Daphnia pulex: one gene and its partner. The protein of the gene in region 1 interacts with the protein of each later gene in a pairwise test. Links are inferred from orthologs where the notes say so. Each region holds a gene or a part of one and is shown in the gene's direction. Other genes may lie near its edges. The genes, in order: G-protein-signaling modulator 2-like and guanine nucleotide-binding protein G(o) subunit alpha.

Region 1 (6,952 bases):
TCACGTAATCATCCATGAATAACAACACGGAAATAATTTAAAAAAAAAAGAAAACAAGTAAAACCACTTTTAACGAAACAACTTGACTTCGTCTGCTAAATAGCTTCAAAAATCGTTTTCGTCCGTGATCCATCTAGTGGTGAGTTGTTTTTCCGCCAGGGGCTTTTAGCCTTGGTTTTTTGGCGCCACATGCTAACTATCCACTCCAACGGTCGTTTGGTCGAATTGAAATAAAAGTTGCGCGGAATAAAGACAAGGGCGGTTTGTTTCTGCGATTGTCTCGTTTTATTCGAGACGTACTGTCTTAGTTTTCAAAAGTTTTGCCAACGTTTTTTTAAAGACTGATGTAATGCTATGCTGGTTTGAATTCTAGCCTACTGTCACACGCATTTGATTCATATGTTTTTATTTTTACTTCGTGGAAAAAGAGCAAGCAACGCAACCAGTGAGTCTAGCCGCGCGCAACTCGACAATCAATACTCTGTCGGGAGTCTCTTGAATTTGAACTGGACGTTCCTTAGTTCAGTCGTTCAGTTGGTCTCCTGAAGTCGAGGCTTTCCTAGACGCTCGTCTTGTTATTCGTTAGGTTTACCGACTTCTCAACACAGTGGGAAAAGTTATACACTAGTGTTTCTTAGTCAACATTTAGCTTCGCTGAGTCAAAACACAATCATCCTGACAAAATGACAGACATGGATAACAGCACATGCCTTGAATTGGCGTTAGAAGGAGAACGTCTTTGCAAAGCTGGTGATTGCAGGTAGAAACTTTCCATGTGCCAAGTTGTTTTGCCCTAGAGGAAATCAGCTTGTCGGTTGGAAAACTTATTGTGATTCATACGTAGTATCAAACACACTTGTCAGTAACTTTGTGTTTGCTTTCTCACAGAGCTGGTGTCGCCTTTTTCGAAGCAGCAATTCAAGCTGGTACCGATGACTTGAGGACCCTCAGCGCCATTTACTCACAACTTGGAAATGCATATTTTTACCTGGGTGAATACACCAAAGCCATGCAGTATCACAAACATGATCTTACTCTAGCCAGGTAATTGTTCACACACTATATTTGTTTGGTTCTAATTGTGGAAAAATTTAAATTTTATTTTCTAAACTGCCATATTTTACAGAACCATGGGTGACAGACTAGGTGAAGCCAAAGCCAGTGGAAATCTTGGAAACACATTGAAAGTAATGGGCAGATTCGATGAAGCTGTTCTCTGTTGCAAAAGACACCTCGACATTTCCAGGGAGCTTACCGATAAAGTACAGTTTTTTTTAGCTCCTAATATCGTTTTCGTCGCCTCTAATGTAAACATGGCTCCCACGCATTTCCAGGTTGGAGAAGGAAGGGCGTTGTATAACTTGGGGAACGTTTTTCATGCGAAAGGAAAACATCTCGGCCGGCTGGGTCAACAAGATCCAGGCGAGTTTCCCGAAGACGTGCGGAACTGCCTGCTAACAGCCGTAAATTATTACGAGTGAGTTTTTATTTTTTCCAAGAGGAAGTTGAGATTGGATTTTACTTACCCGTTCTGATTAACATTATCTTTTGGTTTTCGTCTTAATAGAGAAAATCTTGAACTCATGAGAGAAATAACCGATCGTGCTGCCCAAGGTCGGGCATGCGGGAACTTGGGCAATACCCATTATCTCTTGGGTAGCTTTACGCAAGCCATAAAATATCATCAAGAGGTGAGCGTTTTTGGCTATAAAAAATGTATATCTTATGATATCGTGTGTATGGGTTGTAAAAAAAACGAAGGTTTAATAGGGAAGGCTTAGGGAGATTAAAATCGATACAATCGGGACAAATTATTCGTGGTTTACGTGAGCGAAAAATCTTCTTTCATCGCCCACTTTCTTTTTTCAATTGTGCTTCTAGCGACTGAATATTGCTCGAGAATTTGGGGACAAAGCAGCCGAAAGGAGAGCCCACAGCAACCTGGGAAATGCGCACATCTTCCTCGGAGAGTTCGAAACGGCTGCAGAACATTACAAGTAAATACAGCGACTTCCTTTTTACTGATCGAAAGTTTCCGTAATTTGCGTATGAAAAGGACGGAATCGTCGAGCGTCTTTAAACTTTAAAGAAATCCCATTCAAATTCAATTTACCCCCCTCTCCCTCAGGAAAACACTCCTACTTGCACAGGATCTCGGAGATCGAGCCGTCGAAGCGCAAGCCTGTTACAGCCTGGGAAATACGTATACTCTGCTTCGCGATTATCCCACAGCCATCGATTACCATCTGCGGCACTTGCGTATTGCTGAAGAGCTAATGGATAAAGTTGGAGAAGGTTAGTCGGTGCTGAGAACTCGGTGCTCATTTTCTTTCGGGTTGTTTTTTGTTTGTTCTTTTAAATTTGGAAAATCTTTCTTCCCTGTGATCGCCATTAACATTGTTCCGGTTTGTTTCGTGACCGTCACCAATAGGACGTGCTTGCTGGAGCTTGGGGAATGCACACGCTGCCATGGGAAATCACGAGAAAGCCCTGCACTACGCACAACGGCACCTTGAAATATCCCGCGAGGTGAGCCAACACGAACCAATCAACCGACCTACTAATGGACTAATGGTTATGGCGTAAAATGACCGTTACCCTCTTTTCTCCATCTCTAAGATTGGCGATCCGACCGGCGAGGCGACAGCACAGATGAACTTGGCCGACTTGAGACGCACATTGGGCGTTGACGGCGACGGTGGTTGCGGCGGCATGGGAAACTCAACGAAAGGTCACGCTTCCGAGGCCGACGACGACGGACTCTACGGAGCAGATAGCAAGGCAAGGCGCAGGTTAAGCATGGAGCGCATGGATTTGCTCAAGGTTTGTTTGTGTTCGTCCGCTTTTGTCGCTTTGTTATTATTCTTGGCTTCTATTTTCTCGCATACCGCACCCTCGCGTTCAAACTTGGGAAGGTGGGAAATCTACCGGAGACCTTCCAAAACTTCTATTTTTTCTCTTGGCAAAATCTGCAGCATGGCGATTTTATTATTATTTTTATTACCGTCATCATTGTTTTCGTTGGTCCGTTTCAATTTCGGTTGCTTGCACTGTGATTAATCCAGCTGACGCCGGATGTGAAACAACTTCATAGCAAGGGACGCCGGGAACTGCATGAAATGGATCCTGTGTGGCCTAGACCGCTCGCTGGTCACCCGTTGGTTAGACGTGATATGCTGCCCCCGTTTGTAAGTTTCAACAATCCTCTCTTGATCCGGCTCTATCGGATGGCTCGTTCGTCTGTCTGCTTCTTTCGCTGCCAGTCTATCACAACTGTCACATCTCATAGTCTCGCTTGTTGTTTTTGTCTCTCTATTTCTGTCCGTTACTACCCTGTTGCTAACCGGAATCCATTTCGTTTTGCAATACGATAGGCCAACGGAGACGACGCCATGGATGAAGAGGAATCCTTTTTTAATTTGGTCACTCAATTCCAATCGAAACGCATGGACGATCAGCGTTGCTCGTTGGCAATCGTAGACAACAAGGAGAACCAACAAGCAAGTACACTCCCGTCGAATATTCACGGTGAGTTGTTTTTCCAGGGAAACCAGGGAGGGGGGATACGCGCTCCTGGCGTCGCCCCGAGTTTTGTTTCGTTTGCCTGCTTCTACGAGGGAGTGTGTTTTTATTTTCCTCTTTTTTCGCATATTGTTTCGATAGAGAGCCCGTCGAGATTGAAGGAAGATTTAATGGACCTGATCGCCGGCATGCAGAGTCGCCGGATGGATGAGCAGAGAGCTTCACTACCGCGACTACCCGGCCTGAACAACGCCAATCCAGACATTTTACGTCGGCTGTCTGTGGAGCCAGCCGGCGAGGATGCAGCCGCATTGCCCGATGAGAATTTCTTCGAAATGTTGATGCGGTGTCAGGTTAGATATTCTTCCACCTTTTTGGCCGAATTTGTACTCGTTTCTTTTTCACGAACGACTTTTTAAAATGATTTTTTACTTTTTATTTTTTTCATCGTGTAGGGTACGAGGCTGGAAGATCAGCGCAGCGCCTTGCCGGATACATCGCCTCGGCGGCACAGGGGGCCCACCATGCCCGACGAAGACTTTTTCTCGTTGATAATGCGACTCCAATCGGGTCGACTCGAGGATCAAAGAGCCGAAGATCCTTCACCTCTCATCGCTGCCAACGGAGCTGCCGCCACTTCCTCCTAGACGGAACGGTATCCCTAACCTCTCGGAATGTTTTACCCCTCCTCGCCATCAGCTCTCATCCATGATCGAAATGTATGTTGACAGTCTCTATCAATACCCTCTCTCCATTTTTATTCGTTTCAAAAAATAGCCATTCCCTTTTTCTTTTACTTTTGACCGAGTTTTTTTTTCCAAAAAAACTCTTCCAACTTCACATCCATTTCATTCGCTCTCTGCCTCCTCCTGGAAGTAGAAATCGCGAAAATTAAATCTCACCATTCCTCCTTTGGGGAACAAACAAGGGGAAGGGGGGGTTGATTGTCCGTTCCCGCATGGTTGCACACGAGTTCAAAGGAGTCCCTTTTTTTTTCCGAACATGGCAGTTCTTGTCTTCTCTTTCTATTCCGTTGGCAGAGCATTGTTCCTACTCCCAACGTGAAAGGCAGTTAGAAGACAATAAATAGGCCTATTCCTCGTTTTATTTATTTTTGTCCCCATCTTTTTTTTTTCTTTCTTGGATCTGCAGTGGAAAGTCATCATTGTTGTCGTGAAAACGAAATTGTTTGTCATGGAAGTTTTTAGAGATGAGATTAAGTTGGCGACAGTGTGAGCAAGAAGGGGAAAAAAACAAAATTCGATTTCTCGTTATCTTTTCACTTTGGTGCTTGGTGGGCTCCTTTCCTTCGGGATATTTTCGTTTTATTATTGTAGCGAAATGAAAATGTTTCTTTTTTTGTCGAGGACTGACGTGAAAGAGATGTAAATGCAGATGCCTATGGGGGTGGGGGGTAAACGAGTCGTGTTTTTGTTTCCTCCCAACATAAAAAGCGAGGGCCAAAAGGGGATTGGAACGAGAGCACTTTGTTCTATTTTTCACGCGAGTAAAATGAATCCTGTTTGATATTCAACATCTTCCATACGCGTGCGCAAACTTTTATTATTTTCTTGGGTCTGTCTTGTTGCACGGCACCGATTCTGTTCCCTCCCAAACTTCCAAGGCCCACCCCTCCTCCTTTATTGAAATGTTCAACTTGAATTCTTGTTGCCCATTTCTTTTTTGTTGTGTTGATACAACATTTAGACGTGCCGCCATGTGTAATCCAAACCAGCTGCGTCGTTCTCAGTCCAACTTCTCTTTCTTCCTCCTCTTCTGTATTTCTCTCGCCCCAATTGTCTTGATTCCAACTGTTGGGTCCAGGTGGGCATTTTACGAGAAGAACATAAAGATAAAAGTTACAAAAAAATAATAATAATAATATTCCCTAAATGGACGTGTATGTCAGTGTGTGTATCGCGCCGATTTTAGGTCTTACCTCCCTCTCCGCCTCGTTGCTTTTCTTATACACACCTCTCTTAGGCTACACATCTTGCCCGGAACAAACTCCTCCAGTCTTTTTTAGGTTGAACGGCTCTTGTCTTGTATGTGCAACAGTTTCTGTTTTCACGATAAAATGAAACTGCCGTGGCGACTGCACCAATCCTTCCCCCAACGTTCTTTCCATCTCCTCCGTGTGCCCCCCCCCACTTGTAAAACGTACATGTTTTCTTATTTTTCTTTTTTTTTTCGTTGCTGTCAACGATGATGTACAAATTATGATGGAGCTCAAAATTGGGTTTGACTTTCATTTCAGTCCTCATAACCATTAGTAGATTGGTACGGCGTCCGACACAAAGAGAAATGATGGCGTGACATTCTCAAGTTCCTTGACGACTCGACAGTCGACGACTGCGGTGACTTGGTGCGTCGTAAAGAAAATGGCGTGTAATTTCTCCACGAGTCGCTGGGCTGTTTGTTAACGATCCAAGACGAGATGAATTATTGCAGTCTGGGCGTTGGTCGAAGGCGGAACGAGCCCCCGATGGGTTGCCGACGTCATCCGCGCGCTTCCGTCACGTCCCAGTCGCTTAGACCTTGTACAATTTTGGTCGTCCCTCTTGATTTTATTTGACAAATCGCCTTACGATTCAAAAGACGAGCTGGATGTTCCGTATAATGCCGGATAGGAGGGGTATCAAGATACCGATACAGCGCAGATGGGTATCCGGTTTTCTGTCTTTTCTTTTTGCACACGTCGCCCGGTTCTATTAAAAAACTTTTTTCTTTTTTTTTTCCGAATCCGATTGAAGCGAGTCGACGACTAGAGCAAACAAACAAAATAAACAGAAAGCGATTGCGTGATTCTTTTTACATTTCCCTCTTTTTATCCTTGTAAAATTCTCCATGATTCGATGGCAGAATCATGTCCGTCGCTTCGGTTCGCAAAGTTCACTAGATCTACTTGCTTTTCCTTTCTCTCTCTCTCCGTTTTATTTGTTTCCTTTCTCAAATACTGTCTGACTGAATGTAGCAGTCTCGGTCTGGTTCCTCAGGTTCTCCCCCCGCCACTTTGTTGTCGTGTTTCTTTCGACATCGACCTTTTATTTTATTTTTATATATCTCTCGGACTGCTGCGGGAGTCATCGGCAAGGAGAGTCCGCCTTATTTGGCGCATCTTTACGTGATTGCCATCGATCTCGGAACTTTTCACGGACCCTCACCCCCGGCCTTCCTAATATTCTTTTTTGCTTTGCTTTGGCGTTTATTTGGTTTTTCCATTTCGTTCACACTCGACTTGAAACGTCGAACCTGGTGTAGTGCGTAGTCGTATTCTGCTTTTCTTTGATTTGTTGGACCATTTTTCTTTTTCTGGGGGGGATAGCTGACCGTGGCGATATTGGACATCGTTTTTCTTTGATTTGATTTGATTTACTTCTTCTTCCTTACGTATTCTTCCCTCAATTCTTGGAATCCAATCCATTCTACA
Region 2 (8,357 bases), on another chromosome or scaffold:
GCTTTTTTACTCTCTCTCTTGTGCGGTTTCCTACGGTTACGGTTGGGGGGGGGGGGGGGGGAAAGTTTCTTTGGTATTGACCGACGATCAATCAATAATCATCTCCGCTCGACTCATTGCTGTACTATCAAACCCTGCCGCCTTGTTTCCTGTTCCTTCTCCATTCATAAGAAACTGGCAATTTTTGGTTTCGACCTCTTGCCTCTCCCATAAACTCGATAAGGGTCCGTGTCGGTAGGTCCAGTTCAGCACTTTGATCGTGATCCTTTGACGGATCAAACTTTTCCTTCCGAGTTACACAGCCAACAGATCAACGCGGGGCGCAAATGGGAATGGGGCGAGGCAAACGGCAGATGACGACCTCGAGCGACGGTGGGGATTGACCCAAAAATAGAAGATGCGACTCGAGCAGAAAAGAAGAGAAAGAAGAAAAAAAGTAGATGGGTCAGACAAATCAGATCGAGTACAAGTACACACACACTGCCACTGTCGCTGCTTTTGTACAATCTCGATATATTAATAGTTTGGATCGATAAGGTTGGGCGGCTCTGGTGCATTATTTGTTCTTTCGAGGACGTCCAACGTCTCAAACGCTCTTTATTTATTGATCCCGGAGAAGACGAACAAGAGTCCTGCGCTCTGCCGTCTCAATCGCCGGCATATTTCGTCGCTAGATGACTCTCTCTCTCGCTCTCTTTATTGCCCGCCTTCGTCTCCAACCGATAGAAAGATGGAAAAATTGGGAATAAGAAGATGAGGAGCTTCCGTCTTTCCATTTCCAGATGCAAATCTACTCCCCATAATCAACATGCCTGAATGGATAAATGAGACCAAACGTTCATTTTCTCTCTTATTTTCCTCTTTTATATGTGATGCAGCCCGACGCCAAGATGGTGATGGACGTCATCTCGCGCATGGAGGACACCGAGCCCTTCTCCGAAGAACTGCTGGCAGCCATGAAACGACTGTGGATCGATTCCGGAGTCCAAGAATGCTTCGGTCGATCTAATGAATACCAACTCAACGATTCCGCTAAATAGTAAGAAAGATCGACAGTAGCAATCTCTGCCAGTTACTACTACTCATTTGACATGTAAAGAGGAGGGGGGCCCTGTGGCGACTTAGGTCCCTCTTGGTCAGAACATTTTCGAGTTCCACGAAAAAATATTTTCAAATTTGAGAAAACCGGACCTGATCGTCAGTGGCTCTACTAACGAGTAATTTAATGAACCCTAACTGAGTCAACAGAAACGGCAAGAGAAAAAAAAAGTTAAGTCAATCGCCTAACTCAGACGAATAATCGTAAGCTGCGTAGCCCACCAAGCAACGATTTATAACCAACGCCACCAAATGGTCTAAAAGGAAGAATAGAGATAAGTTTGTCCTACCTTTAAGCCTGGGAAGATACAGCCAGGCATCCACGAACGCTCCATCCATCCGCAGAAAAGTTGAATCCGCCAGGCAGGATAATAAGAAAAAGGGCGTCCTCGTGAACACACCCACAGTCACATGGGTGTACACGAGGACATTAAAAGAAAGGGGAAGCAGAGATCCGTAACTCTGGTGACATCAGTAGTTTCTCCAATCCATCTCAACGAGATGCTGTTTATCTAAATCATAAATTTAAAATTGGTTACGAAAAAATATTGAAATAAAAAACAAACAAAGAAAAGTTGAAAATGAGACACTGGGTAAATCTTAATTTCATGGGGGAATCTAAGGTTTCCATATAATACACTGAATGCAAGCCATGCATCATTCAAATACGTAGCAGGACACAGGAGTAAAGTAATAACCCTTGAAATCATTACCTAAGCGTTGATGCTGAAATTGTTGAGTGATGATAGGTCCAACACGAGATAAATCAAAACTTGCTTATGATCTTGTGGTTATGATGGCTGGTGAAGGCCTCAAATCTGCACAAAAGTAAAACAAACAAAAATCTGAACAGTGCAAAGAAAATTGCCACTTCGACAGAGGGCTTACATCTTACATGACAAATGCTAACCAGGAATTACAATTTCACAAATTTGGAACAGATTTCTCTTCTATTTAAGCACCCATTATTATTCTATTTGTATTATTATTTTTATATTTACCTGCAGAAAAGTGATCGTTTCATTTTCTTTGTAATCTCTAATCTTACATCTTACATCTTTTGTTCCCTCTTTCAAAACGTGGAAGCAGACGACACTAATATTCTAATTAGAAATGCTTAGATATCGATAGAAATTATTTTTTTTAAATCGACCCCCAAATCCAAACCGATAAAAAAGTAAAAACGATAAAAGCAGTTTCCGATCGAACGACCGAAACGGCCACAATAAGACCCTCCAGAACCCTCTTGAAAGCCAAGAGGGAATAAATAATCATTCGAGAGTCCCCCTTACCATTCACATTTTCGTGTCATACATAATAATTACATATCTAGCTTGGTATCTTTATGGTGGACGGCTTGATCCTTCCTTTCGTCTTCTTTTCCAGGAAATAATCCAAGATCTTTGTATTATTATTTCCTGTTTTTAGCTTTTTAGACGATTTGGACCGATTGGGAGCCAAGGATTACCAGCCGACTGAACAGGATATTCTGCGAACGCGAGTCAAAACTACCGGCATCGTCGAAGTCCACTTTTCATTCAAAAACCTCAATTTCAAGTGAGTGCCGCATCGGTCGAGTTCTGACTGTGAGATTGTGACTGTAATATTTCATTGATTGATTTCTTCGTCATCAGATTGTTCGACGTCGGAGGGCAGCGCTCCGAGCGGAAGAAGTGGATCCATTGCTTCGAGGACGTGACGGCCATCATCTTTTGCGTGGCCATGTCCGAGTACGATCAAGTGCTACATGAAGACGAGACCACCGTAAGAATTTCTTAAATACAACTCAATCAATTTATTATTTGAATTTAAAAAATAATGAATCGAATTGATTTTCGACAGAACCGAATGCAAGAGAGTTTGAAACTGTTTGATTCGATTTGCAACAACAAATGGTTCACGGACACGTCCATCATCCTCTTCCTCAACAAAAAGGATCTCTTTGAAGAGAAAATCAAAAAATCTCCTCTGACCATCTGCTTCCCAGAGTACACAGGTAAAATATTATTTCCCAACCAACCCCAAATAATTTAATCAATTAAAACAAAAACGAACGGGAAATTGTTGCAGGTGCGCAAGAGTACGGCGAAGCGGCGGCCTACATCCAGGCCCAGTTCGAAGCCAAGAACAAATCAACGACCAAGGAGATCTACTGCCACATGACGTGCGCCACGGACACGACCAACATCCAGTTCGTGTTCGACGCCGTCACCGACGTCATCATCGCCAACAATCTACGAGGATGCGGCCTCTACTGAGCTCTGCCAGCCCCCCAAACTTTATACATTGAACTTTTTAAAAATTCATCATCCACTTTTATTCCCCCCTTTGATTTTGTATTCTTCACTTTGGGTTCAAATTCGAAGAAATTTCGTTTTCTCTCTCTCTTAATTTTGGGGTGGGATTAACAATTGTGTGGGGAAATTTCCCTCCTCGTCCAGCCCCACCTCTTTTTGCTCCCGGCCGGAACAAAAAACGGAAACAGGAAAATCGCGCGCACACACCAAAATGACGTCATCGCACAGTAAAATAATCCCAGACTGAAAAAATATAGTGAACCGTTTTCTTACCAAAAGCGCAACAAGAAAAGAGCAGCTCATCTCTCCCGACTCTTGTCGACTGTCATTTTTTTTGGGTTTCTAAATTATTCCTTTCTGCCTGTTGTTTGTTTCTTTTTTCTTCTATCTCTCTCTCTCTCTCTTGCCCACTCAAAAACACTCCCGCGTTCGGAAGGGAAAAAATCTTCCTTCCTTGTCTGAACCGGATGTCGTCGGCTCACGTCGTTTACGTCAATCGCGTCATCATCAGACCCAACTGTTCTCCCTGTCTCAAAAAAGCGCACGCTAGTCAATGCCCCACCCACTGCCCCAACAGCCTCTCTCTCTCCACATATAAAAGAAGAGATGAAAGTCGACGACAGCCGCTCCCGCACACGAGGAGAATTGCACAAAAGAGAGAGAGAGAATTCACGGGAAGATGAATCGATTTAACAAAAAGGGGCGGGCGGGGGGAACTTATTATTATGATTATGTAAAAGACGAAATAACTCTCCCACAATGTCGAGAGGCCAGCAGCCAAGTCCCCTGAAAAAATAAGAGGAAGCAAAAAAAAATGCGCGCGTGCTGTGTGTGTGTGTGTGTAAAGGAGATGACATTCCAATCTTTGATTTCAAAGCTCTTTTTGATTTCTCTCCGCACGCTTTTTTGCAAATTTCTTTTGTTATCTCGTCGTGTCCCTTTTTTTAATTTTCGAACGCACCGGCGTCACCGAGACGAGAGAGACTGAACGAAACCGACGGAAGGAAGAACAAATTTAATTCGTTTACCTTTTGATATTTCGAGAGAGTCGTCGTTTTGCTGTGCCATTTTCTAAAAAAAAGAAAAACAGAATGTCGACATCAAAAGAAATCCAAAATGTCAAAGAGAATTCGAGAGAGAGAGAGAAATTAGCCCGAACAAATAACTAGAAAGAAAAGACTCACGGTGCAATTTCGATTTGTTTTATGTATCGACGTTCTTTTGATCTATTGAACAAAAAAGCGTCGCCGTAGCGCAATTTGAAAATGTCGTTTTTACTTTGATCGGGAAATGGCTGAAAAAGTTTGTTTTTCAAATTTCCCCCTCGGGACCGATACGCCATCAATTTTCCCTATCGAATCGGTCGGTCTCTCTCTCTCGACGTCGTTATTTGACAATGTCGATAAGAATGGCAACCTTTTTTTTCTTTTCTGGAATACGGGCATTTGTTTGATTGGTTCTAGTCAATTTCAGTGGCATCACGTCGGCATCAACTAACCCCAGGGAGGATTTAAGAAGAAAGAAAAAAAGGGCAATTGAATATTTCGAGACGTGCGTAACAAAAAGGAATGGGAAACTTTTTCTTACTTTCTTACCGCGGACATGACCAATGAGGATTGTCACGTCCGTTTCTGTATAATCATCCATCTACCCTCGTCTCTTCTATTGCTCGCCGTTTTTCCTCATCGTCGTTATTGTGCCCATCAAAGTCGCTGTAAAACAACTTGCCTCTCTCTCTTTCACCTTGTGTTTTTCTTCTCTTAGCTGGACGTTACAGCACACGCTGCACTTATTTGATTTCTTGTGTGTGTGTCTCTCGTTTGCCAATTTGTCCAACATTTTCGTTCAATTTGTTTGTTTCCTTGGCCGTTTGCGCGCAAAACGTGGCTCTTTTGTTTCCTCTCATTTCCTTCTTTGCTTCAAGAGCGGGATACTAAAAAAAAAAAAAAATAAGAAATTACTAAATAGATTTGGCAAGGGTCCAAACCTCTCCAGAGTGAGAGAGAGAGAGACAAAAAACAAAAATTAATTTACACAAAAAACCGCACACCCAAAAACCCAGCGGATATATAACTATAATGTTGCTGCTGCTGCCATCCCGACACACACTTTGTTATTTCATTTTTTTTTTTTTACCCTCCTGTCTCTCCTTCCTGTTTCTGTTTTTTTTTTTATAGTTAGAAAAAGCTAAACACCCGGGCTAATCTAATATCCTTCTTGGGCGGAAAACGGGGAATTTCTCGGATGAATTAGATTTTACCTTTTTTATTTCATTTTCTTTTGGTTTTTTGTTGTTCGCTCGCTCTCCAGCACGCTCGTATATTTGTTCTTTATATATGTGGATTCCATCGTTCCATTCGATACAATCAATATGTTTAGATTTGAGAAAAAGAAGATAGGGGCGAAACAAGAAATTTTTTCTTTTTTTTTAATTTTCCTGCTGGGCTTGGGGGAAAGAAAAAAATCTGTTTAATAACAAGAGCGAAAAGAGAAAAAAACTTTCAGAGCTTTTGATTTTTAAAATGACATGAAAAAAAAAAGCTTTGATTAGACGAGAGACACCTTCACTTTCGATACCCAAAACCGTCGTGCGTGTGTGTGTGTGTTTGTTATTATACTCTATTATAATCCCCAATGATGTTCTTCTCCTTTCTTCTTCATTCTTCTCCTTCCACGGCGTTTCAACGCGCCCAATCTACGTAGCTACTTTGATAGCGCTTATTATTTGACACGAAAGAAGAAAAGATATAAACCGAAAACTAAACTAAAAAAAACAAAAACAAAAACAAAAAAAACAACTAAAAAATACGCAAAAAAACAACAAAAACAAACAAACAAACAAAACAATGATCGTTATATACATAATTATATATATTTCGCCTGGCGATGATGCCGCTGCACCCCTCCACCACACCACACCTTGTTTTTTTCCCGCGCGGCTTTTCGATTCGAACTCAATTCCCGACCGAAACGTAAAAGAAAACAAGGCAACAACAAGCATCCAATCTCCAAAATGATAATCTTAACCAATTTTGAGGAATAGAAATTAAAAAAAAGAATAAAAAAAGGCGCACAAAAATTGATCACAAACAACACCTGGACAAAAAGTTGGTGTGAAATTCAACTCGAGTCAAGGTGCAACATATTTCGGCTCTCTCTCTCTCTCTTCGTAAATCATCGTCCGCATTCAAAGCAATTGGCAAGGCACAAGAAAATGTTTTTTTTTTTTCGTTTCTAATTATTTCCCCGTGTGTTATTTTTTTCTTTTTGGAAAAGAAAAATTACCAACCAAACTAAACATTTGGATTTTGATAACTTTGTAGATGCTTTTGTGCGTTTATAATTGTATGATAGCCGCTAGAGGTTATTACTGTCGAGTTGCGGGAGGGGGTTATTTGAAAAGCGGTTGGAAGTCAAAAAGTCAAACTGGGAATCAGTAACACCTCAATTTTTAGGGGGGAGAGGGGTAACTGGAGAAATGCTTAAATGACCATTGCGACATTCTCTCCGTCGTCATTTTATTCAAACAAGACCTTCCTCATTTTTCTTTCCCCCTTATCTCTTTGAATTGGCCCATTTTCCTTCTCTGTTGTCTCCATACACTTTCTCTCTCTGTCCTCATTTTCCTTTAAATGTATCCGTTGTCATGTAATCGCCATAAAACCTTCCCAGCTATCACTTTGCGACTCGGAGATTGATTCTAATCAAATCAAAATCATCTCACCTAGTCAAAATTTTTTTTTAAATCTTTTGATCTTATTTCTTTTACCACGCCCACCTCCCTTGTTTGAGATCGTGAGACAATATAAAATATGAGAAGTAAAAAAAGAAAAAAACTAAACTAAAATCGCTGATATATAATTCGAAATTGAATTGTTAGGCTTTGAATACCCGGCTCCTTTTTTTTTTTTTAATTAAGCCCCTCAACCTCCTTGATAGGAAACGATTAAAATTCGATTTTTCAATGTGTCCAGACTCGCGTGTCAAGTGATGATGATTTTTATTGTATCATGTAGAAGCGCTTTCTTCGATTCCCTTTTGCGTTTGAAAATGTATCATTGCTGGACGACGACATCAAAGATAGCAGAAGAAAAACAAAAATTGCACACAAGATTTAATCCTATAACCGACAAATTTCAAAAAAACAAACAAAAAAACCAAAATGTTCGTTCGGGACTACTATTCCTTCCGTACTCTGTTGCGTTAAATAGGCTGTGCGTGTATTGCTCTAATTTTCCAGATTAGTTATTTCATCCCCGCCAATTTCCCAAATCGCCAATCAAATCAACAAAATTGTCATGCAGCCCTCCTTAATTAAATTAGCTCGCCGAATTTTTTCCCATTTCCTTCATTTTTCCTCTCAACTGATTTATTATTATTATGACAACCTCTAATATCAACAGCAGTTGGCCAAATCTTCTTCTTCCCTATTACCCAACAACAAAAATAGGCGGGAAACCCCTCAAAATTCGAATTGATTCCCTCTCTTTCTCTCGCTCTCGTAAGTATATTCCTTTCGATCGTTTTGATTTTTCTTTTTTTTTTTCAGTATATATATATACATTGGTTATCCCAAAAAATATATATATCGGCTTGAATTTAATTGAGGTTGTCCCCCCCTCTTCTCGGCTCTATCTTGCGTTCATTTCCTTGTGATTCTCCTTCCTTCCTCACACTCTCATTCGTCTGGTTTGTTTCGTTTTTTCCTGCATCGCCTCTCAGTTTGTTTCATTTCATTCAATCGAGAAAAACAAAACAACCAATACCCAAAAATGGTAAAAGAAAAACACCTCTTCAACATATATTCTTCAGTTGGTTATTATTATTATTCATCTTTATATATGATTTGTGGGTTTCGATCTGAACAACAACAAGTTTATGTTGGTGTATTCTGTACATGGCGAAACAACAAAGTTTTAATGTAATTCCAAAAAACTCGTTTCGTCTTCACTTTACTTCTTT

What was found.
Region 2: the proteins of G-protein-signaling modulator 2-like (region 1) and guanine nucleotide-binding protein G(o) subunit alpha interact in a two-hybrid assay, tested with the Drosophila melanogaster proteins (3 studies listed by BioGRID, with this or other methods). The link is inferred for Daphnia pulex from reciprocal best matches to the Drosophila melanogaster genes pins and Galphao.

Annotation. Positions count from the first base shown.
Region 1 is NC_060018.1:4,012,784-4,019,735, forward strand, and holds G-protein-signaling modulator 2-like, read left to right. Parts: upstream 1-234; 5' UTR 235-346; exon of another isoform or gene 347-428; 5' UTR 429-683; coding exon 684-760; intron 761-888; coding exon 889-1,044; intron 1,045-1,126; coding exon 1,127-1,262; intron 1,263-1,334; coding exon 1,335-1,477; intron 1,478-1,567; coding exon 1,568-1,691; intron 1,692-1,881; coding exon 1,882-1,997; intron 1,998-2,128; coding exon 2,129-2,295; intron 2,296-2,431; coding exon 2,432-2,529; intron 2,530-2,619; coding exon 2,620-2,823; intron 2,824-3,065; coding exon 3,066-3,188; intron 3,189-3,374; coding exon 3,375-3,528; coding exon of another isoform or gene 3,529-3,663; coding exon 3,664-3,875; intron 3,876-3,977; coding exon 3,978-4,169; 3' UTR 4,170-4,629; downstream 4,630-6,952.
Region 2 is NC_060022.1:884,714-893,070, reverse strand, and holds the end of guanine nucleotide-binding protein G(o) subunit alpha, read left to right. Parts: intron 1-878; coding exon 879-1,039; intron 1,040-1,388; exon of another isoform or gene 1,389-1,610; intron 1,611-1,811; exon of another isoform or gene 1,812-1,916; intron 1,917-2,099; exon of another isoform or gene 2,100-2,253; intron 2,254-2,526; coding exon 2,527-2,655; intron 2,656-2,732; coding exon 2,733-2,862; intron 2,863-2,940; coding exon 2,941-3,094; intron 3,095-3,168; coding exon 3,169-3,356; 3' UTR 3,357-8,333; downstream 8,334-8,357. UniProt on the Drosophila melanogaster protein: Guanine nucleotide-binding proteins (G proteins) are involved as modulators or transducers in various transmembrane signaling systems.